Linked DNA regions of Arabidopsis thaliana. The protein of the gene in region 1 interacts with the protein of each later gene in a pairwise test. Each region holds a gene or a part of one and is shown in the gene's direction. Other genes may lie near its edges. The genes, in order: PUP3, NRAMP4, AT3G05350 and AAP8.

The links.
Region 2: the proteins of PUP3 (region 1) and NRAMP4 interact in a protein complementation assay, tested with the Arabidopsis thaliana proteins (one large-scale study listed by BioGRID).
Region 3: the proteins of PUP3 (region 1) and AT3G05350 interact in a protein complementation assay, tested with the Arabidopsis thaliana proteins (one large-scale study listed by BioGRID).
Region 4: the proteins of PUP3 (region 1) and AAP8 interact in a protein complementation assay, tested with the Arabidopsis thaliana proteins (one large-scale study listed by BioGRID).

What each region holds. Positions count from the first base shown.
Region 1 is NC_003070.9:9,859,786-9,863,239, reverse strand, and holds PUP3 (purine permease 3), read left to right. Parts: upstream 1-1,671; 5' UTR 1,672-1,805; coding exon 1,806-2,495; intron 2,496-2,571; coding exon 2,572-2,937; 3' UTR 2,938-2,949; downstream 2,950-3,454. Other genes in the region: PUP1 (purine permease 1), read left to right, coding at 678-1,040; ATJ1 (DNAJ heat shock family protein), read right to left, coding at 3,263-3,347. UniProt on the Arabidopsis thaliana protein: May be involved in transport of purine derivatives during pollen germination and tube elongation.
Region 2 is NC_003076.8:26,859,404-26,864,426, forward strand, and holds NRAMP4 (natural resistance associated macrophage protein 4), read left to right. Parts: upstream 1-1,862; 5' UTR 1,863-2,418; coding exon 2,419-2,942; intron 2,943-3,079; coding exon 3,080-3,216; intron 3,217-3,299; coding exon 3,300-4,177; 3' UTR 4,178-4,494; downstream 4,495-5,023. Other genes in the region: HOS15 (WD-40 repeat family protein), read left to right, coding at 236-394, 482-603, 716-790, 874-927, 1,023-1,096, 1,197-1,271, 1,352-1,571. UniProt on the Arabidopsis thaliana protein: Vacuolar metal transporter involved in intracellular metal homeostasis. Can transport iron (Fe), manganese (Mn) and cadmium (Cd). Regulates metal accumulation under Fe starvation.
Region 3 is NC_003074.8:1,527,879-1,535,481, reverse strand, and holds the start of AT3G05350 (Metallopeptidase M24 family protein), read left to right. Parts: upstream 1-1,572; 5' UTR 1,573-1,638; coding exon 1,639-1,965; intron 1,966-2,120; exon of another isoform or gene 2,121-2,221; coding exon of another isoform or gene 2,222-4,582; exon of another isoform or gene 4,583-4,814; intron 4,815-5,225; coding exon 5,226-5,351; intron 5,352-5,453; coding exon 5,454-5,573; intron 5,574-5,676; coding exon 5,677-5,952; intron 5,953-6,071; coding exon 6,072-6,244; intron 6,245-6,317; coding exon 6,318-6,572; intron 6,573-6,802; coding exon 6,803-6,954; intron 6,955-7,057; coding exon 7,058-7,248; intron 7,249-7,359; coding exon 7,360-7,468; intron 7,469-7,556; coding exon 7,557-7,603. Other genes in the region: AT3G05365 (uncharacterized protein), read left to right, coding at 390-496, 775-914, 1,012-1,106; RLP30 (receptor like protein 30), read left to right, coding at 2,222-4,582. UniProt on the Arabidopsis thaliana protein: Catalyzes the removal of a penultimate prolyl residue from the N-termini of peptides, such as Arg-Pro-Pro.
Region 4 is NC_003070.9:3,264,358-3,269,359, forward strand, and holds AAP8 (amino acid permease 8), read left to right. Parts: upstream 1-1,528; 5' UTR 1,529-1,615; coding exon 1,616-1,940; intron 1,941-2,621; coding exon 2,622-2,715; intron 2,716-2,829; coding exon 2,830-3,044; intron 3,045-3,142; coding exon 3,143-3,285; intron 3,286-3,523; coding exon 3,524-3,751; intron 3,752-3,943; coding exon 3,944-4,369; 3' UTR 4,370-4,466; downstream 4,467-5,002. Other genes in the region: AT1G10000 (Ribonuclease H-like superfamily protein), read right to left, coding at 1-431. UniProt on the Arabidopsis thaliana protein: Amino acid-proton symporter. Stereospecific transporter with a broad specificity for glutamate, aspartate and neutral and acidic amino acids.

The sequences.
Region 1 (3,454 bases):
ATAATTTTTAATTATCTAATCATTTACTTATGTAATAAGTAATTATTCTTAGTATTAAAATATATTTTTTCTAACAACATTCTCAACAATGCATTATACACACAATTCCTAAACAATGTTCATCTTAAACTAATTAAATAGAGGGTAATACTGGAATTCTCGAAACCTAAGAATTTGATGATTAAATTTCTTACATACTCTTCACCCTCGGCGATTTATTATATAGATATATAACAATATGCAAACTATTCAAACTATTAACTAATCCATGACTACTATACACTCATAATTTGAGTTAAGATTACAGAAAAAAATCTTCTGAGTATGAGAAAACCAATAAAATTATTTTATTGAACAACATGTAATAACAAAATAAATTTAGTATTAGTACAATTAAATATGTAAAATTAAATAATAAATACATCATTAATCTATAAATTAAAAGTTGAAAGCTTACATTAATTATTATGTGGACACATGGCACATGTTAAAGTGATGATGTGTCAATCATATGGAGAGAGTTGGCCAACTTTCATATATATGATTTGTCTTCCTTATCTTTTATTAGAAACATTATTTAAAAATTGTTCAAACCTTTATCCTGTATTTCCATATCTATTTAAAATTATGATTAAACTTGAGAATCAACTAAAATCATCATCATACATGTTTTGTAGGTGATAGCAAGAGAAGCAAGAGAGTTCAAGATTGGAGGATCAGTGTTTTACTATGCATTGATAGTGATCACAGGAATAATATGGCAAGGTTTCTTCTTAGGAGCCATAGGGATTGTGTTTTGTGCATCATCACTAGCTTCTGGTGTTCTGATAAGTGTTCTGCTTCCGGTGACTGAAGTTTTCGCCGTCGTTTGTTTCCGGGAGAAGTTTCAGGCAGAGAAAGGTGTCTCTCTACTTCTTTCTCTTTGGGGATTTGTCTCTTACTTCTACGGCGAGTTTAAATCCGGCAAGAAAGTTGTTGATAAACCTCAACCGCCGGAGACAGAACTGCCTATTCTTCCTGTTAGTGATTATGTTGCTTAATTTCTATAACTCTATAGGATTATAACAGAGCATTACTGTTATGTTTTGTTCCTAATATTATGTGTGATTGTGTGTTTTGTTATTGTTCTTGTGTATAAGTATGAATAAATTTGAAAGATATTGAGCTATTTGATAAATGCAAATTTTAATACACTTGTAGTAGAAATAGAATGATAATGATAAGTAAAAGATAGGATATTTCGTATTTGATAAAATCACATCCTATTTATCGATTTTATAAAATAAACATTTCACACTTTTAATTTAAGATTAATATAATTTATCTATTTAATATAAAAATTTGTATATAAATCAAAGAACTAATATAGAAAGAAGAAGAGAAAACAAAAGAGATAGAGTCAAAGAACCAATTAACCATCCTTAAAATCTTCTAATTATAGAGAGAATTATGAACTGAAAATCTTAATGTCATTGCACTAAATTTAGAAAGAAATAAATCCAATAATCAAAACTGTAGAATTTGATGGAAACGTAAATTAATATGAGAGATATGATATTATCTGGTCTATAAGATAATTACTACGTTTTTTATACGAAATTAAACAGTTAGCAAAATTTATGGGTATAAAATAGGAAAAGTCATGTTTTAGCCATTGAAGCCTCGTTAGGTAAAAAGAAACACAAAGATCTATCACGACAGAATCTAAAACCGGACCAAATTTGTTCCAAAACACAGCAACACCAAACCTTATAACTAACTCCTTCGACCACCAACCTTCATTATCCACAAGAAATCAGACAAGAATGGTGAAGGCTCTTGTGATCATAAACTGCATAATTCTAGCCATAGGAAACTGTGGAGGTCCTTTGATTATGCGTCTCTACTTCAACAATGGCGGTAAAAGGATTTGGTTCTCTACGTTTCTTGAAACTGCAGGCTTTCCTGTTATCTTCATTCCTCTGCTCTTCTCTTACATTACCCGGCGCAGAAGCAACAATGTGGGTGATAGTACAAGTTTCTTTCTTATCAAACCGCGTCTTCTTATCGCCGCTGTTATTGTAGGCATTCTCTCAGGGTTTGATAACTACTTGTATGCATATGGTATAGCTTATCTTCCAGTTTCTACAGCTGCTCTTATCATTGCTTCACAGTTAGCTTTTATAGCTATCTTCTCATTCTTCATGGTTAAACATAAGTTCACTCCTTTTACCATCAATGCTGTTGTGTTGTTGACTGTTGGTGCTGCGGTTTTGGGAATGCATACCGAAACTGATAAGCCAGTTCATGAGACTCACAAGCAGTACATAACTGGTTTCTTGATTACTGTAGCAGCAGCTGTTATGTATGCTTTCATCTTGCCATTAGTGGAACTTGCTTACCAGAAAGCTAAGCAAACCATGAGCTATACCCTTGTGCTCGAGTTCCAGTTGATTTTGTGTCTCCTTGCTTCTATTGTCAGCGTCATCGGTATGTTCATCGCTGGTGATTTCAAGGTTAGTCACTCTTTTGAATCTGAAAACATACAAAAGAGTTTTTAACAGAGACTTGAGCCCTTTACTGTTTTTGCAGGCCTTACCAAAAGAAGCAAGAGAGTTCAAGCTTGGAGAGGCATTGTTCTATGTGGTGGCTGTGTTTTCAGCCATCATATGGCAAGGCTTCTTCTTGGGAGCCATTGGATTAATCTTCTCCACATCGTCTCTCGTCTCGGGTATTATGATATCAGTGCTTTTGCCAATTACAGAGGTTTTAGCTGTTATATTCTACCATGAAAAGTTTCAAGCTGAGAAGGGACTTTCTCTTGCTCTCTCCCTTTGGGGCTTTGTCTCTTACTTTTATGGTGAGATAAAGTCTGGCGAGGATAAAAGGAGAATTCAGCAGGAGGAGAGTCAGGAGACAGAACAATCTTCTTTGTCAAGACCCATAAGTGAGTGTTAAAACTCAACGAAGCATGGCTTTTCGTTTAAAGACATCATAGCACTCATTTCTCCGCCAAGTAGATTAGAAGATATGTTTGAGAAACTTGTGGGATTATGCCGAAAACACAATCTTAAAGGACTTTTTTTTTTCTTTTCTTTATTTCAGCTTAACTTGTTTGATGTCTCTTATTATTCACATCAAATGAGTTTGTAATAGAATTATGAGGTCAAACAATGACACTCTCTGTTATGCTGGTGAGCTTTTTGTTCTACCAGCAATAGATGAAATTAGTCTTCATTTGTCTTCTGTTGAATGCTTTTATCTTTCATCTCTCGTGGTGGCTTCATCCCATTAACCTGCTCAACAATAGCGCCAGCAGCACCATTAACGAGAAGTCGCGGATGATCTGAGGACCCGTTAGATTCCACCTGTAAGTTCAACCAGTAGAGAGCTTCTGGTAAAGCCTGTTTGGTTCATATTCATGATTCTTCATTACTATAAGGAACAATCGCTAGTGAGGAAATAACATTCAGTT
Region 2 (5,023 bases), on another chromosome or scaffold:
TATCTCTATGTTTCCTTCTAGCGTGAGCTACAAATTGTGATGTTCGAGTTGTGTGGGCTTTTGATAGTAACACGACACAAGATTGAAACAATAAAAGCTATCAGCTAGTAAAAAACATTATAACTCTGCATTGGGTATCATATCCTTGGCCAAAAACATTTACTCCACCTTCTGTTATGTATTGGAGAGTCAGCTTCTAAATTACAAATTACGTCTTTCTTTTTCACATTTCCAGGTGAACTGATAAGTACTCTTAGCAAACACAAGGGACCTATTTTTTCCCTTAAGTGGAACAAGAAGGGGGACTATCTTCTAACCGGTAGTGTTGATAGAACTGCTGTTGTTTGGGACGTAAAGGCAGAGGAGTGGAAGCAACAATTTGAATTTCATTCAGGTGCAATTTTATTTCTTTTTTGATTAAACATCAATTTGAATCAATTTCTCATGCATATGACATGGAATGAATTTTTTTTGAAAATAGGTCCAACACTTGATGTTGATTGGCGCAACAATGTATCTTTTGCAACGAGTTCCACGGACAGCATGATCTACTTATGTAAGATTGGAGAAACTAGGCCTGCCAAAACCTTTACTGGGCATCAGGTTTGTATCTGTCATCCAAGTTTCTCCCATATCGTATCAGTATGTTTAGTTTTCTCAGTCGCAAGTAACAAATGTCTGGTACTAACCAAACCCATGGCTTCCATAATGGCAGGGTGAGGTCAACTGTGTGAAATGGGATCCTACTGGTTCATTATTGGCCTCATGCTCAGATGATAGTACTGCTAAGGTTCTTTGAATTAACTTGAGCATATTCTACATTTCTTTAAGTTTCTCTCTGCCTCTTTTTATAAATGTATATTTTTTCTTCAGATATGGAATATAAAACAAAGCACCTTTGTTCATGACCTCCGAGAGCATACTAAGGTAAATCCATAAATCCTCAAAAGTCTTAAGGAAATTTCAAATATATTTTTGGATTTTGAATAGCCTCTAAAGATGGATATTAATCTTCTCTTTAGGAAATTTATACAATCAGATGGAGCCCTACAGGACCAGGAACTAACAATCCTAACAAACAGCTAACTCTTGCAAGGTTACAACACGCTTTAAACATTGAATACTTTAAAAACAAAGCGTCATTGTAACATATCATTCATCATCTCTGTGTTGTTGTTGTTGTTTGAATGGAACAGTGCATCATTTGACTCAACAGTAAAGCTATGGGATGCAGAACTCGGGAAGATGCTCTGTAGTTTCAATGGACACAGGTAAAAGTTAAACCTCAATGTACTTTTGCGGGGTTTAGCTGTAAACCGTTGGTTATAAGTTTCGTTGTTGTGATATGAAGGGAACCGGTTTACTCACTGGCGTTTAGTCCAAACGGGGAGTACATAGCGAGTGGGTCTTTGGACAAATCGATACACATATGGTCGATTAAAGAAGGTAAAATCGTAAAGACATACACAGGAAATGGAGGGATATTCGAAGTGTGTTGGAACAAAGAAGGTAACAAAATCGCAGCTTGCTTCGCTGATAACTCAGTTTGCGTTCTTGATTTCAGAATGTAGTTTTCTTAATTGTAGTCCTAATAACACTCTCTCAGTCCAAGGTGTTTCTTTTTGTTGTTGCACATATCTATAAGTTATAACACTAAATTCGAAAGATGAAACTGTACTTGAGATTATTTTTGTTATTTTATCTATCATTGCAACTTTTGGGTTGACTGACGAGTAACAATGAATTGAAAGAAAACAAACTGCATAAGATTACAAGGGTTACTACATCCATATCTTTGAATTTAGACCACAAAGCTAGATTTGAATTGAAAGTGATGTAATGCAATTGAGATATGAGGACATCAACTATGAAGGTGTCTTTATGTAGTAGTAGTAAACCGTTGGGTGAAACAGTGAAAGTGGATGATGGCGCGTGGCGAGAGCTGACGGATTCGTGTAACCCCCAGGCCAAACACGTTTCTACTTCTACTTAACCCATTCCCTTTATTTATTTTTGTTTCTGTTCACCACGTCGCATTTTTTAATCTGTAATCATCACCATTAATATGGTCGACCAAACTAGTAATTTCCTTGAGCACCATACTTTTGTGTGAGGATAATGAGACTCCCAAGAAGAAGACTCGATAATCCCCAAGTTACACGTTCTCTCGACTTATTGACAAATCTATCCCTGCGCTTATTTACCATTCACATATACTGCCACTTCTTATTCTGACGTGGCGTAATAGTATTGGATAAAACGGTATTATCTACCCCTAAGTCGATTATAGTATATATATAAAGCAACAAAGCAGTTGCAAATTTCAAGATAGTCGTCACTTTAGTCGCAGCACCACCACCAATTTCGAATTTAGCATTTCTGAATTCCGACTCTGAGAATCGGCGGTTACCGGGAAATATGTCGGAGACTGATAGAGAGCGTCCGTTATTAGCATCGGAGGAGAGAGCTTATGAAGAAACCGAGAAAGTTCTCATAGTCGGAATCGACGAAGAAGAAGACGCTGATTACGACGATGACCCCGGAAACTCTCCTAAATTCTCATGGAAGAAGCTTTGGCTATTCACTGGACCTGGTTTTCTGATGAGTATCGCTTTCCTCGATCCAGGTAATCTCGAGAGCGATCTTCAAGCTGGAGCCATCGCTGGTTACTCTTTGATTTGGCTATTGATGTGGGCTACGGCGATTGGGCTTCTGATTCAACTTCTATCTGCCCGTCTCGGTGTGGCGACGGGTAGACATCTGGCGGAGTTGTGTCGAGAAGAGTATCCGACTTGGGCAAGGATGGTGCTTTGGATTATGGCGGAGATTGCTTTGATCGGAGCTGATATTCAGGAAGTTATTGGTAGTGCTATAGCTATCAAGATCTTGTCTAATGGATTGGTTCCTCTTTGGGCTGGTGTTGTTATCACTGCTCTTGATTGGTAAGTGTTTTTTTTTTTCTCAATTTGGTTATTGATTTAGGAAAAACCCTAATTTTTGGAATTTAGGGTTCTTTATTATTGTTTGTTTGGTATCTTTAGTTTTGATCCTAACATTGTGTGTGATGGGTTAATTGCAGTTTCATCTTTCTATTTTTGGAGAATTATGGAATAAGGAAACTAGAAGCTGTGTTTGCTATTTTGATTGCAACAATGGCTCTTGCATTTGCTTGGATGTTTGGTCAGACGAAACCCAGTGGAACTGAGCTCCTTGTTGGTGAGACTCTAAATATTCCTTTCTTTTGTCTAGTGTGTGGAGATGGGAGTACAAAAATGGTAACTGTTCATGTTTTTTAACAGGAGCATTGGTCCCTAAGCTTAGCTCCAGGACTATCAAACAAGCTGTTGGTATTGTGGGATGTATTATCATGCCTCACAATGTGTTCTTGCATTCAGCACTTGTGCAATCCAGAGAAGTCGATCCGAAAAAGAGATTCCGGGTCAAAGAAGCTCTCAAGTACTACTCCATTGAATCCACTGGTGCTCTTGCGGTTTCTTTCATTATCAACGTCTTTGTGACCACGGTGTTTGCCAAGTCGTTTTACGGGACAGAGATAGCGGACACCATCGGTCTTGCAAATGCTGGACAGTACTTACAGGACAAATACGGGGGTGGGTTTTTCCCGATACTGTATATATGGGCGATTGGAGTCTTAGCTGCTGGTCAGAGTAGTACCATCACAGGTACGTACGCCGGACAGTTTATAATGGGAGGGTTCTTGAATCTCAAGATGAAGAAATGGGTTAGAGCCTTGATCACAAGAAGCTGTGCAATCATACCAACAATGATCGTGGCGCTTGTCTTTGATTCATCGGATTCTATGCTTGATGAGCTCAACGAATGGCTAAACGTTCTTCAATCGGTTCAGATCCCTTTCGCTGTGATCCCACTCCTTTGCTTGGTCTCCAATGAGCAAATCATGGGCAGTTTCAAAATTCAACCTTTAGTCCAAACAATCTCATGGATAGTAGCTGCTCTTGTGATAGCCATTAATGGGTATCTAATGGTGGATTTCTTCTCAGGAGCTGCAACGAATTTGATTTTGCTTGTGCCAGTGATCATATTCGCAATTGCTTATGTTGTGTTTGTACTTTACCTTATCTCACGAGGACTCACGTACACTCCTTGGCAACTAGTGGCTTCTTCACATAAAGAACCACAGAGGGATGATGAGTGAGTAAAGGAAAAGCAAAGAGACCTTTTCATTGAAGAATAAGAATAAGAGAGATTGCTCTTTTTAGTGAAACAAACAATAGAAAGTTGAGTTTCAGTATGGTAACAAAACAATGTCCTGATGTATTTGTATTATAGTGTTTTATGGTTTTTAGAGTATAGCTTTGGAAGAATCCGAATCGTATCGTTTGTGTAAAACTTCCGGCGTTTCTTAGAATTTTGGCAGAAATAAAACGTAAACATGAAGTTCCTTCTTCAGATGTGCGTTATTTCATTTTCTTTTAGATAGATTTTTTTTTTTTGGGTTTAAGTATATAAGTTAAAAAAAAAATCTTAATATTTATACATTTAGATATCTTGATGTTTTTCAAAGTAATAACGTGAACTCTGGTTTTGAATTTCTTAGAGAAAAAAAAAATGGTCAAAAATGGGGAAGAAATGGTCAAAGATTAATGGAAACGCGCTCGCATTTAATTTGATGTTTAAAGGTCACAAACAATGTTTAGTCGTTTAGGGGAAATTCATGCACAATTTCTTTGATGCCACGATAAGCTTTGATTGCAAATTTAAGTTAAAAAAAATTCTGGAAGCTAGTTTTATCATTTGATAATGAAAATTTCCTGGCAAACGAGAGTCGAGTCGAGTCGAGGTATTTAAATACATCACGTAAGTTTCGTTAACTGCCCCAAATTAAATTAAAAACACAGGAGCAGCTTCTCCTAATCCAAAATCCAAAAAAACAAACATCAAAAAGTCAAAAATTAAAATATTTAAATACATAACCTACCTAACAAGGTTTGACGCAAAACCCGCCACGAGTCTAACGCATTTATTAAGAGAAAGTATGCAC
Region 3 (7,603 bases), on another chromosome or scaffold:
AGGATAGGAGCTATATGTCTACTATTTTTATTTTTTTAGCCAATGAGAGAGCTCCACTTCATACCCCACTTTTACCAATCGAGCGATTTCACAACCAGTCTCACCCATGTCGCGTTGAGCGCGTGTCTACGATTTCTAAAGGGGTTTGTCCACAGAAATCATGCCTTTTTTGATCCACGCAACTCACTCTCAAAAATCCATCGCGTGTCTTATTTTTTTTGGTTTTCTTCTCTAAACCAAATTAAACCGAACCGAGATCAATTTGAATTTCAAAACCAATGTAAACCCATCAAACCCATCGCTGTGAAAACAAAAAGCTCGGCCACTGTAACAACAAAAATGGAGACGACACAACTTGGAAGAGAAATCAACTCTAAATAGCCAAGAGAATGTTCGAAAACCCCCTCAAATCCGATGCTTCCTTTGATTCCAACCTCCAAAAGCCCATCTGCTCAAATCTTCATTTCGAGGATGAGGACTCGAGGAGTATTACAAGGTACCTCAATAGAATCAATGGCTTCCATGGATTTTGAAACTTTACTTCTAATAAACACCATTGTAATGTCTTGTTGTGAAGTTGTGTAAGGAACAAAGGATAGTGAAAGCTGAAGAGTGGGATTCGTTTATGGAGTTTCAGAGTTTTTTTTGACTAAGTGGCCTCTGTTTTTGATTCTTCAGTGGTCAATTTTGTGATGGGATTTGATTGAAATTGGAGAATGATTTCATGAAATCTCTTCGGGCTGAGGTTGATTCATGACTCTTTCATTTTTCTAGTGTCTCATTGATGATAGACATAAGAAGCATACTTAAGGCCATAGAGAGTGGTGAATTGGAGGCAATCAAGCCTTTGCCTTGGTACCCTAAGAATCTTTCTTTTCACGGAAGGAGATTAGAAAAAACCAGATACTTGAGAGGTACATTTTCATGCCAGTTGCTTCAGAACAAGTATTCACTTCCATTCCCTTACTTGTGTTAGTTCAGCGCTTGAGAAATATTATGATCTTGTTTCAGACTTTCAGCTGTCAAGAGACAAGGCCCGTTTTACTATCAGGTTAAAATCATGGTCAGCTTCTTGTCCCAAACCACATTGTTGCAAGGTTTTGTAATAAATCTTGGCTCGATAATGCATTCAGAAACTTCTTCTACTCATATCTCAAAATATGTTTTGAATTCTAAACCCCATGGTTATCAATATAAAGAATATTAGTATCTATTTTTCTCTTTTCTGGTGTGGTTGCAATTTATCGTTTGTCTCTTTCGTGGAAACCCTTAATTCAGGCGGTATTAAGTCTTTCTCATAAAACTTTCTAAGTCAAACCAAAATTCCAATCGAAATTCTCAGCATGAAAGTCTCGAACACGTTTACATTTCTTACGCACCCAAAGACTCTTGCTTCTTGCACACGTCTCTCTTGGCTGTCCTTTACCATAACGAATTTGATGAGATTGTTTCAAAATAAAATGTTTCTTTTTGACAAGTCTGGGATTTTAATGTAATTATCAATAGTCATGCACATTATACAACATTTAAAAGAATACGGGGGTTGTTTTGCAATTTTCAGTAGTTATACACATTTATCCGTAATCACTCTGCTCAAGAAGCTTCTCCTCTTGTGTGATTCTCCTGCAATCGCTGGTGATGATTCCTCTAACTCTTTCGTCGCCGTCTCTGAATCGGCTCGTTTTATCCACATCACGTTACTCACACTCTCTATTTCTCAGCAATTTCAATTCGCTCTCTCTGATCCACCGGAAATTACCGTATAAACCTCTTTTTGGCGCAAGGTGTCATGCTAGTAGCAGCAGCAGCAGCTCTTCCTCCTTCACGGCAAAGTCTTCCAAAGAGATTCGTAAAGCTCAAACCAAAGTAGTTGTCGACGAGAAGCTTAGCTCGATCCGGCGACTGTTTTCGGAGCCGGGTGTTGGAATCGACGCTTATATCATACCTTCACAAGATGCACATCAGGTTCTCTTTTTTTAAACCTCTTCTTAACTCGTGATTACGAATTGAATAGGAAGTTCTAGTAGATTCAAAACTGTTCAATTGTGTGTGTTTTTAAGTCAATTATTGGTCCAAGTGGGCAAGTTTGACTATAGAAAGGAGTAGGTAGAAGTCTACTAGAGAGCTGCAAATTTGTGTTTTGTTTTCTATTTTTCTCTCTCTCTAAATAGAGACGTAGAAGCCATAGCTATCATAACCTGTTACTTACAAAACAAACAAAATGATTCCAAGCCAATCTAATTCCTTTTCTGGTAGTGTTATTACCTTGTATTTCTTCCTCCTGGGTTCCCTTGTTCTACGCACTCTTGCTTCTTCTAGGCTTCACTATTGCCGCCATGACCAAAGGGATGCTCTTCTCGAGTTCAAACACGAGTTTCCGGTAAGTGAATCGAAGCCAAGTCCATCGTTGAGTTCATGGAACAAGACTAGTGATTGCTGTTTTTGGGAGGGTGTCACGTGCGATGATGAATCTGGCGAGGTGGTTTCACTTGACCTTAGTTATGTCCTTCTCAACAACTCTTTGAAACCAACTAGTGGTCTTTTCAAACTCCAACAACTCCAGAACCTGACTCTCAGTGATTGCCATCTCTATGGAGAGGTTACTTCTTCACTAGGAAACCTTTCTCGTCTCACGCATCTTGACCTTTCGAGTAATCAGCTGACAGGTGAAGTTCTGGCTTCGGTCAGTAAGCTAAACCAACTTAGAGACCTTTTACTTTCCGAAAACAGTTTTAGTGGTAACATTCCTACTTCATTTACCAATTTAACGAAGCTTTCTAGTTTAGACATCTCTAGCAATCAGTTCACATTGGAAAATTTCTCTTTCATACTACCAAATTTAACCAGCTTGTCCTCCTTAAACGTTGCCTCTAATCACTTTAAATCCACGCTTCCATCTGATATGAGTGGACTCCACAACTTGAAATATTTTGATGTGCGTGAGAATTCATTTGTCGGGACTTTTCCTACATCCTTATTCACGATTCCTTCGTTACAAATTGTTTATTTGGAAGGAAACCAGTTCATGGGACCTATAAAGTTTGGGAATATATCTTCATCTTCTAGGCTTTGGGATCTAAACCTTGCTGATAACAAATTCGATGGGCCAATCCCTGAATATATATCTGAAATTCACAGTCTCATAGTACTAGATCTTAGCCACAACAACTTAGTTGGGCCAATCCCCACTTCTATATCAAAGTTGGTCAACCTTCAGCATCTTAGTCTTTCAAACAATACCTTGGAAGGCGAAGTGCCAGGTTGCTTATGGGGATTGATGACAGTGACACTTTCCCACAATTCTTTCAACAGTTTTGGAAAGTCATCATCCGGAGCTTTGGATGGAGAATCAATGCAGGAGTTGGATCTTGGTTCGAATTCACTTGGAGGACCTTTTCCCCATTGGATCTGCAAGCAAAGGTTCTTAAAGTACTTAGACTTGTCCAACAATCTCTTCAACGGCTCAATTCCTCCTTGTTTGAAAAATTCCACTTATTGGCTTAAAGGGCTAGTTCTGCGTAACAACAGCTTCAGCGGATTTCTCCCAGACGTATTTGTCAATGCTAGCATGTTATTATCACTTGACGTTAGCTACAACCGGTTGGAGGGAAAACTTCCAAAATCCCTGATCAATTGCACTGGTATGGAACTTCTGAATGTGGGAAGCAACATAATCAAGGACACTTTTCCATCCTGGTTGGTTTCTTTGCCATCATTACGTGTCCTCATCCTCAGATCTAATGCATTCTATGGGTCGTTATATTATGACCACATATCTTTTGGGTTTCAACATTTGAGACTCATTGATATATCACAGAATGGCTTCAGTGGAACTTTGTCACCTTTATATTTCTCCAATTGGCGTGAGATGGTGACATCTGTCTTAGAAGAAAACGGCTCTAATATAGGTACAGAGGATTGGTACATGGGCGAGAAAGGGCCCGAGTTCAGCCATAGTAATTCGATGACTATGATATATAAAGGAGTAGAAACGGACTTCTTGCGGATCCCATATTTCTTCAGAGCCATTGACTTTTCTGGAAACAGATTTTTTGGGAATATACCTGAATCCGTTGGTTTGTTGAAGGAATTGCGTCTTCTCAATTTGTCAGGTAACTCATTCACAAGCAATATCCCTCAGTCATTGGCAAATTTGACAAATCTTGAGACATTGGACCTATCCCGGAATCAGCTATCAGGTCACATCCCTCGAGATCTTGGTAGCCTCTCTTTTCTGTCGACCATGAATTTCTCCCATAACCTTCTCGAAGGTCCAGTTCCACTAGGCACTCAGTTTCAAAGCCAACATTGTTCTACATTCATGGACAACCTCAGACTCTACGGTCTTGAGAAAATCTGTGGAAAAGCTCATGCCCCGAGTTCTACACCACTAGAATCCGAGGAATTTTCGGAACCAGAAGAACAAGTGATTAACTGGATAGCAGCGGCAATAGCCTACGGACCTGGTGTGTTTTGTGGATTAGTTATTGGACATATCTTCTTTACTGCACACAAACACGAGTGGTTCATGGAAAAATTCCATCGAAACAAGCGCAGAGTAGTCACCACAAGTGCTCGTTGAACACCATCACCTCTCACAATTTCTCTGAGTGATTGTGAAACGTATATGTTTGTTATGATATCTGTCAGTTGTGTTATGCATAAACTCTTTGTCTTTGTAATTTTCTACTTTATGGTATTGTAAGAAACGGCTTTGGTGGTATCTGATCTTCTATATGTTGGGTTGAAAATGCATTCAGATTTTTCTTCCTAGTCAAATCTCAACTTGTCATAAGAGGATGTTTCAATTGTAGAGCCAAATGGAAGTTCTTCTTCTTCTAAATCACAGTATGAAATTCTCCAACTCGTGTTTTATTTCATTCTCCCCAAAGTTTCTTGCTCCGCTCACACGTCAATCTTGCTGTCCCTGAGTATACCAAATTCGATTTGGAGATTCAAGATAAAAAATAAATATGATTTGGACCAGTGCGGGGGTTGTTATGCATCTATGCAATTGTTTTTGCCATTTTGATATGGGTAATGTGTTGTTTCGGTGAATTTTACATACTAGGAGCTTAAGATCTACTTTCATAACTGATGTTGCCTGTAATATATTTCTGTGCCATTAGGAAAGTCACAAATTTATGTTTTACTTCTAAATGTATCCATAAACTGCCTGAGTTTTTCATGGCTTGAGTGTGATTTTTCTCCATATTTTGTACTAGAGCGAGTTCATCGCAGAGTGCTATGCCAGGAGGGCTTATATATCAGGATTTACTGGAAGTGCTGGTACCGCTGTTGTCACCAAGGATAAGGCAGCTCTATGGACAGATGGCCGCTATTTTCTTCAGGTTTTGATCATTATCGTCCTTTAAAATTATTTGATTGCCATCTCATATTGAAAGGAAATGTGGAGTTTCTTATCTACATTCTCTGCAATTATTCTATCAAAGGCGGAGAAGCAATTAAACTCTAGTTGGATTCTCATGCGGGCTGGTAATCCGGGAGTCCCCACGGCGAGTGAATGGATAGCTGATGTTTTGGCGCCTGGTGGAAGAGTTGGTATTGACCCTGTAAGCTATTATTAAACCTTCTAAATTGTGTCTCCTTTTGTCCTTAAATATTGTAGTTTGTGGTTTGTTATTTACAAGACTTTGGAATTCATGAAGGGAGCAGTTCCTTTTTTCCGCCGATGCTGCTGAGGAATTGAAGGAGGTTATAGCAAAGAAGAATCATGAGTTGGTTTACTTGTACAATGTAAATCTTGTGGATGAGATATGGAAGGACTCAAGGCCAAAGCCTCCAAGCAGACAAATAAGGATACATGACTTGAAGTATGCTGGTTTAGATGTGGCCTCGAAATTGTTGTCTTTGAGGAACCAAATTATGGATGCTGGCACATCTGCCATTGTAATATCCATGCTTGATGAGATTGCATGGGTGCTTAATCTGGTAATACTCTAGCATAGCATCTTACATTTGAATCTGTTAGTTTTGTGCCACTGATATCAGCTTATCCTTCACATAGGTCCCAATGTATTGATGTTGTATTCTGCCTCTTCTGACTGCAGAGAGGGAGCGATGTTCCACATTCACCTGTAATGTACGCATATCTGATTGTAGAGGTTGACCAAGCCCAACTTTTTGTAGATAATTCTAAAGTAACGGTGGAGGTGAAAGATCATTTGAAAAACGCAGGGATCGAACTTAGACCTTACGATTCCATTCTTCAAGGAATAGATAGGTAAGTACTTGATTGTCCATGTCCATTTATGAACTTCAGAAAAAGGAATTTCCCTCACTTTGAGTTTTCTCAGTTTGGCAGCACGAGGAGCTCAGCTCTTGATGGATCCATCAACCCTCAACGTAGCTATCATTAGTACCTACAAATCTGCCTGTGAAAGATATTCGAGGAATTTTGAAAGCGAAGCCAAAGTTAAGACAAAGTTTACTGATAGCTCCAGCGGATATACTGCCAATCCTTCTGGTATTTACATGCAATCTCCTATTTCGTGGGCAAAGGCCATTAAAAATGATGCTGAGCTAAAGGGAATGAAGAATTCTCACTTGAGGTAAAGAAAGCCATTGCTTTTACGATATTTTCCTAATCCAACTGCCTTTATAGGATTCAACTTTTCTCTGGAAGATTTTGGTTTCTTTTGTACTTTCAAATGCTAAGTATCTTAGGCTGACCAAATATATATGGAGAAATGCTGCTGCTCTAGCTCATTTCTGGAAAATTTTGGTTTCTTTTTTTCCTATGTATGGGAAATGTCTTTGGCTGACCACTTATTTTATGCAGAGATGCTGCTGCCCTAGCTCATTTCTGGGCTTGGCTGGAAGAAGAAGTGCATAAGAATGCGAATCTAACAGAGGTCGATGTGGCTGACAGGCTTCTTGAATTCCGTTCAATGCAAGATGGTTTTATGGATACAAGCTTTGATACAATAAGTGGTATGGTTATTGTCACCCTTGTTGGTGGAACTTGCTTCTTAACACATAGTCAATATACAGCCAGTGAGTGATATGTATTCCTTTCCTCTAATTACCCATGCAGGTTCCGGTGCAAATGGTGCTATTATACATTATAAGCCCGAGCCTGAGAGCTGCAGTCGTGTAGACCCTCAAAAACTTTTTTTGCTGGATAGTGGCGCTCAATATGTTGATGGAACAACAGACATCACCAGAACAGTACATTTTAGTGAACCTTCTGCCCGTGAAAAGGAATGTTTCACTCGAGTCTTGCAGGTGGAATATTTGGCTCTTCTTTTCCTCATCATTTTTGATGACCATTGACTACCTATATTGAACAGACGAACCTGTATGGGTTGCCTTGTCTGATTGGTATTTTGGTTGTAGGGTCATATAGCTCTTGATCAAGCCGTGTTCCCAGAAGGTACTCCTGGTTTTGTATTGGATGGGTTTGCACGCTCTTCTCTATGGAAAATTGGACTTGATTACCGCCATGGTACTCTATTCTATCTTTTGACTCTTCTTCCCAGAACAACTTTTTTGTAAGGAACTCATATTACTCTGATATTTTGCCTGCCAAACAGGGACAGGACACGGCGTAGGTGCTGCACTCAATGTGCATGAAGGTCCT
Region 4 (5,002 bases), 6.6 Mb from region 1:
CGAACTTTTGGGAGCGCCAATTGGGCGGATTGCCACGCTAAGGCATCCTGAACCGCCTTTGTAACAGTCTCTATCACAGAGAAATGAGAATTTTGGAAGATAAGCTGATTTCTGGCTTTCCAGATGTGCCAACAGATCCAGGGGAAGAGGGTTGCTGTATGAATCCCAACCGGGGGGAGAACGATGGTTTTCTTAAGTAAGTTAAGAGCTTCCAAAATAGGGGTACCGATAGGGATGTGACCCAATTGGAGGGGCGCTAGGTTCCAAACTTGTGCCGCAAAATCACAGTGAAACAGCATGTGGGTGGAAGTCTCCGGAGCCCCACAGCGTGCACAATCCCAAGTTGATGATATATGCCTTCTTACGAGTTGTGCACCCACAGGGAGAGCTCCTGCAGCCGCCTTCCATAGGAAAAGTTTGATCTTCGGCATAGTGTGGAGTTTCCAAAGGTTTGCTTGCCAGTTAAAGCGGACCTGAGCTGTTGGTAGCACTGTCAAGGATGTTACCCCGTAACCTGATCTTGAGGTATACTCTCCAGATTTTACCGGTAACCAGACCAATTTATCCACACCCCTACTTGAGGGCACAGGGAGCTGTCTGATGAGCTGTTCATAGTCAGGTAGGAGGTCAACGTACCGTACTTTAATGGTGTAATATGCGACATTTATTATGTGTCATTTTAGATATCTGATTCTGTCTCGACAATTGGGATGGGCATTTTATGGATATAGTTAGAATGGGATTTTATTCGAAGGAATATTTTGTGGATATATTTTAAAATAATCCACTAAAAAATCAGGTTTATGTTGGTCAAAATCCATATTTAATACGACAAAATACAACATTGAATTCATTAATTGTGCACAAATTACGGATTGTGAGATAAGACTATAAGAGTGAAAGAAACGATAAGAAGTAATGAAGACTCAAAATCGTACATAATTGAAATTAGTGAAATTTATGGTTTGGTTTACATGTTTTTGTAAACCGTTAAAATAGTAGTAAAATATAATACAAACATGTAAATCCACATAATTTTGTATTTGATGCGATACTAATAACAAAATGTTGTAGATATATCATAATATTTAGTTGATACAACAATATATATATATAGATTCACATCAATACATCATTATAACTCAATGTTAATGATTTAATTTCCCGATTAATGAATCATGTGCATGTGAGGATTTGAGAAGATAAATGAGCAAGATAGAAGAGAGGATATAGCTATGCAAGAGGCCAAGATCTGAAGGAAATATCTCTCTGTTTTACTCATCTAATTTTAATCAGTTACCTAATTTCGATTATTCGTAGTGTCGTTAATGTAGGTAAATCCTCTTTTCAACATGCGGACCAATTTTTGTTTCCGGAATAAGCAATAGTGGTTACACATTCAAAATCAAAGTCAAAAGAAATAAATCCTCGTAATAGAAGATTCTCTTAATAAATAAGATTCAACGTACAAAGATGCTCTTTCCATATAAACATCGATATTTGTGTATATAATACATGTAAGTACGTGATTGTGAGGGAGTACTCTAATAAGACGACCTCTGTCAATAACTCTCTTCCCCTCTCTTCTCTCCTCTGGTTCAGTGGTTCTCTCACAATGATGGACGCATACAACAATCCCTCGGCGGTGGAGTCGGGTGACGCCGCCGTGAAAAGCGTCGACGACGATGGTCGAGAGAAGAGAACGGGAACATTTTGGACGGCGAGTGCGCACATAATCACGGCGGTCATAGGCTCAGGGGTGCTGTCGTTGGCTTGGGCTATAGCACAGCTTGGTTGGGTGGCAGGAACCACAGTTTTGGTCGCTTTCGCCATCATTACTTACTACACGTCCACCTTGCTCGCCGACTGTTACCGTTCGCCGGACTCCATCACCGGAACACGCAACTATAATTACATGGGCGTCGTCCGATCTTACCTTGGTATGGATTCATATAAACAAATTCATTTTGTGTCTTTATCAGCATTGTTTTTCACAGATTTTTCAGTTTTCTAGACATTTTTTCTCAGATGAACAAGGATTTTGTTCATTTGATATCATTTAGATTTTGCCTAACTAGTCTCAATTTAGGACATGTGTTTTGATTTTCTTCCATTTCTGTCACAATGATGATGGCTGGCGAAAGAAAAAAAATCTGATCTAAAAATATATATTTAATGCTAAGTTGGAATTTGTAAATCTACAGTATAATTGGCTCATTTCAACAATTTTTTACCATGTAAATTTGTTGAAGAACATTATTGTTGTTGAACAATGAAAGAAAAAAATATGGTTGTTAGAAAAAAATGATTTACGATTTTGCCAAGTGTGCATGCTCTTTCATGGGAAGATATGAATTAATTATCAAAATCTATATAAAAAAAAGGAAGATAATCTTCATTCTTTCATAACTTAGTTAATAAATTAAATTGATTAGGATTGGTAACATAGTCAATTCAATTTATCCCGTTAAAGAATGTTATAAATTCGATTGTTGACCCCTCGTTGAAAATTTGGAATTATGCGGGATGTTTAGAAACTTTGCCATAAGACCAAAAGATTGGTAGTATTTGATAGTAGTACAAGAGTAATCATTTTTCTTCTTTAATAACATAAAACGCAGGTGGTAAAAAGGTTCAGCTATGTGGAGTGGCACAGTACGTGAATCTCGTAGGGGTCACTATTGGTTACACCATCACTGCCTCCATAAGCTTAGTGTAAGTCAAAGATTCTGATTTATTTCGATTATTTTGTTATGGTTATACTAACATGTTGTTCTGAATAAAATTACTAATAATTGTTTGATTGGTGTTTTTGTACGTCTTCGTTAGAGCGATTGGGAAATCAAATTGTTATCATGACAAGGGACATAAAGCGAAATGTTCTGTATCGAATTATCCATACATGGCGGCATTTGGGATCGTCCAGATCATTCTGAGCCAGCTTCCTAACTTCCACAAGCTCTCTTTCCTATCCATCATCGCCGCGGTTATGTCCTTCTCTTATGCGTCTATCGGAATAGGCCTAGCCATCGCTACTGTAGCAAGTACATTCCCCTTCTTTATCTTAAAACATAGTGGTTTATATGGATGATTCTTCAAAGTTGACACTAACCGTGAAAATGGTATACAATATATATGAAAGGTGGGAAGATTGGTAAGACAGAATTGACAGGGACAGTGATAGGTGTGGACGTAACTGCGTCTGAAAAAGTTTGGAAATTGTTTCAAGCGATTGGAGACATTGCCTTTTCATACGCTTTTACCACTATTCTCATCGAGATTCAGGCATGTACTACTGATTCCTACTATCTTCCGTTTACTATTGTTTTCATTTGCTTGTTATTATTAATTTCGCCAAAGAGAGGTAAAATAAGAATACCTTGAAGATAAGATGTTATTATTAATTAGACAGTTAGGAAAAAATATAGATGGATGGATGATGGATAAAAATAGTTTCATATTTTAGATATGTGAAGCTCTAAAGATAGTGACGCTCTAGTAGTATGTCTTGTTTATTTTGCAGGACACATTGAGATCAAGCCCACCAGAGAACAAAGTGATGAAACGAGCAAGTCTTGTCGGAGTCTCAACCACAACTGTTTTCTACATCTTGTGTGGTTGCATCGGATATGCTGCGTTCGGCAACCAAGCCCCTGGTGACTTCCTTACCGATTTTGGTTTTTACGAACCTTATTGGCTCATCGACTTTGCCAATGCTTGCATTGCTCTCCATCTAATAGGTGCCTATCAGGTATAACTCACAAACAAAAGAATAGGATAAGTGTGTAACATACATTTACCGTGTTCAAGTTCATTAAAAGTCTCATTATTGTGTTAGAATTTTTAGCTTTAACAATTCAGAAGATTGTAGAAATGGAGTTATTACTAAATATTGTTTCTAAAAAATGCTCTTTTTTTTTTTTTATCCCTGTATTATTCGCAGGTGTATGCGCAGCCGTTTTTCCAGTTTGTTGAGGAAAACTGCAACAAAAAATGGCCTCAAAGCAATTTCATCAACAAAGAATACTCGTCAAAGGTTCCTTTGCTTGGAAAATGTCGTGTCAACCTCTTCAGACTGGTTTGGAGGACATGCTATGTTGTTTTGACAACATTTGTAGCAATGATATTCCCCTTCTTCAATGCGATCTTGGGTTTGCTAGGGGCATTCGCGTTCTGGCCACTCACAGTTTATTTTCCGGTGGCAATGCACATTGCGCAGGCTAAAGTCAAGAAGTATTCTCGTAGATGGTTGGCCTTGAACCTCCTCGTATTGGTTTGCTTGATCGTCTCGGCCCTTGCCGCCGTAGGATCCATCATTGGCTTAATTAATAGTGTCAAGTCATACAAGCCCTTCAAGAATTTAGACTAGTGTGACTTATAATCTATGTTTGCCAAAAAAAAACCTTGTGATCCATATGAATTATATGAAATTTATTTCATGCTAAATATTTAGTACTTAATGTTTCTCCAAATAATGTGACGTTCTGTTTTCAGCTATGTTAAAAACCAAAATGCTAACTTATGTATTAGTACTAAAATTTATGAAAATGTATTAGTTATTGATTTATTTTTAGGACTACAATTATTGAATCAACATTGGATGTTTGAGTCCCATGAGATATGGATTTCAGCTTTTTTCAAATTCGTGTGGTTGTGTCAATTTCGAGTTATTATTATTTATTTTGCTTAATGGAATTGTCGGGGAAATCTTGAAAACAGACACTCACAGATTGTGTAATTTATTTGGTTTGGTGTGTCCTACATAAGTTGCTATCACATCTTATGTATTGGAGGAGTTGGGCAATAGAGGATCAAGGCAAGTTTGGTTTTCTATTAACGTTTCTACTCTGCATTTGCTTACAAAGTCATTTTCAAGGTTTTGTGGTCGTATGTCACTTGATGGCTACCATCATAACCGCCATGTAACCAAACAATTGCCTTGCGGTTACCTACCCATATGGCGCATCTAACCAAGAGATGCATCCCCTAATCCTGGTCATTT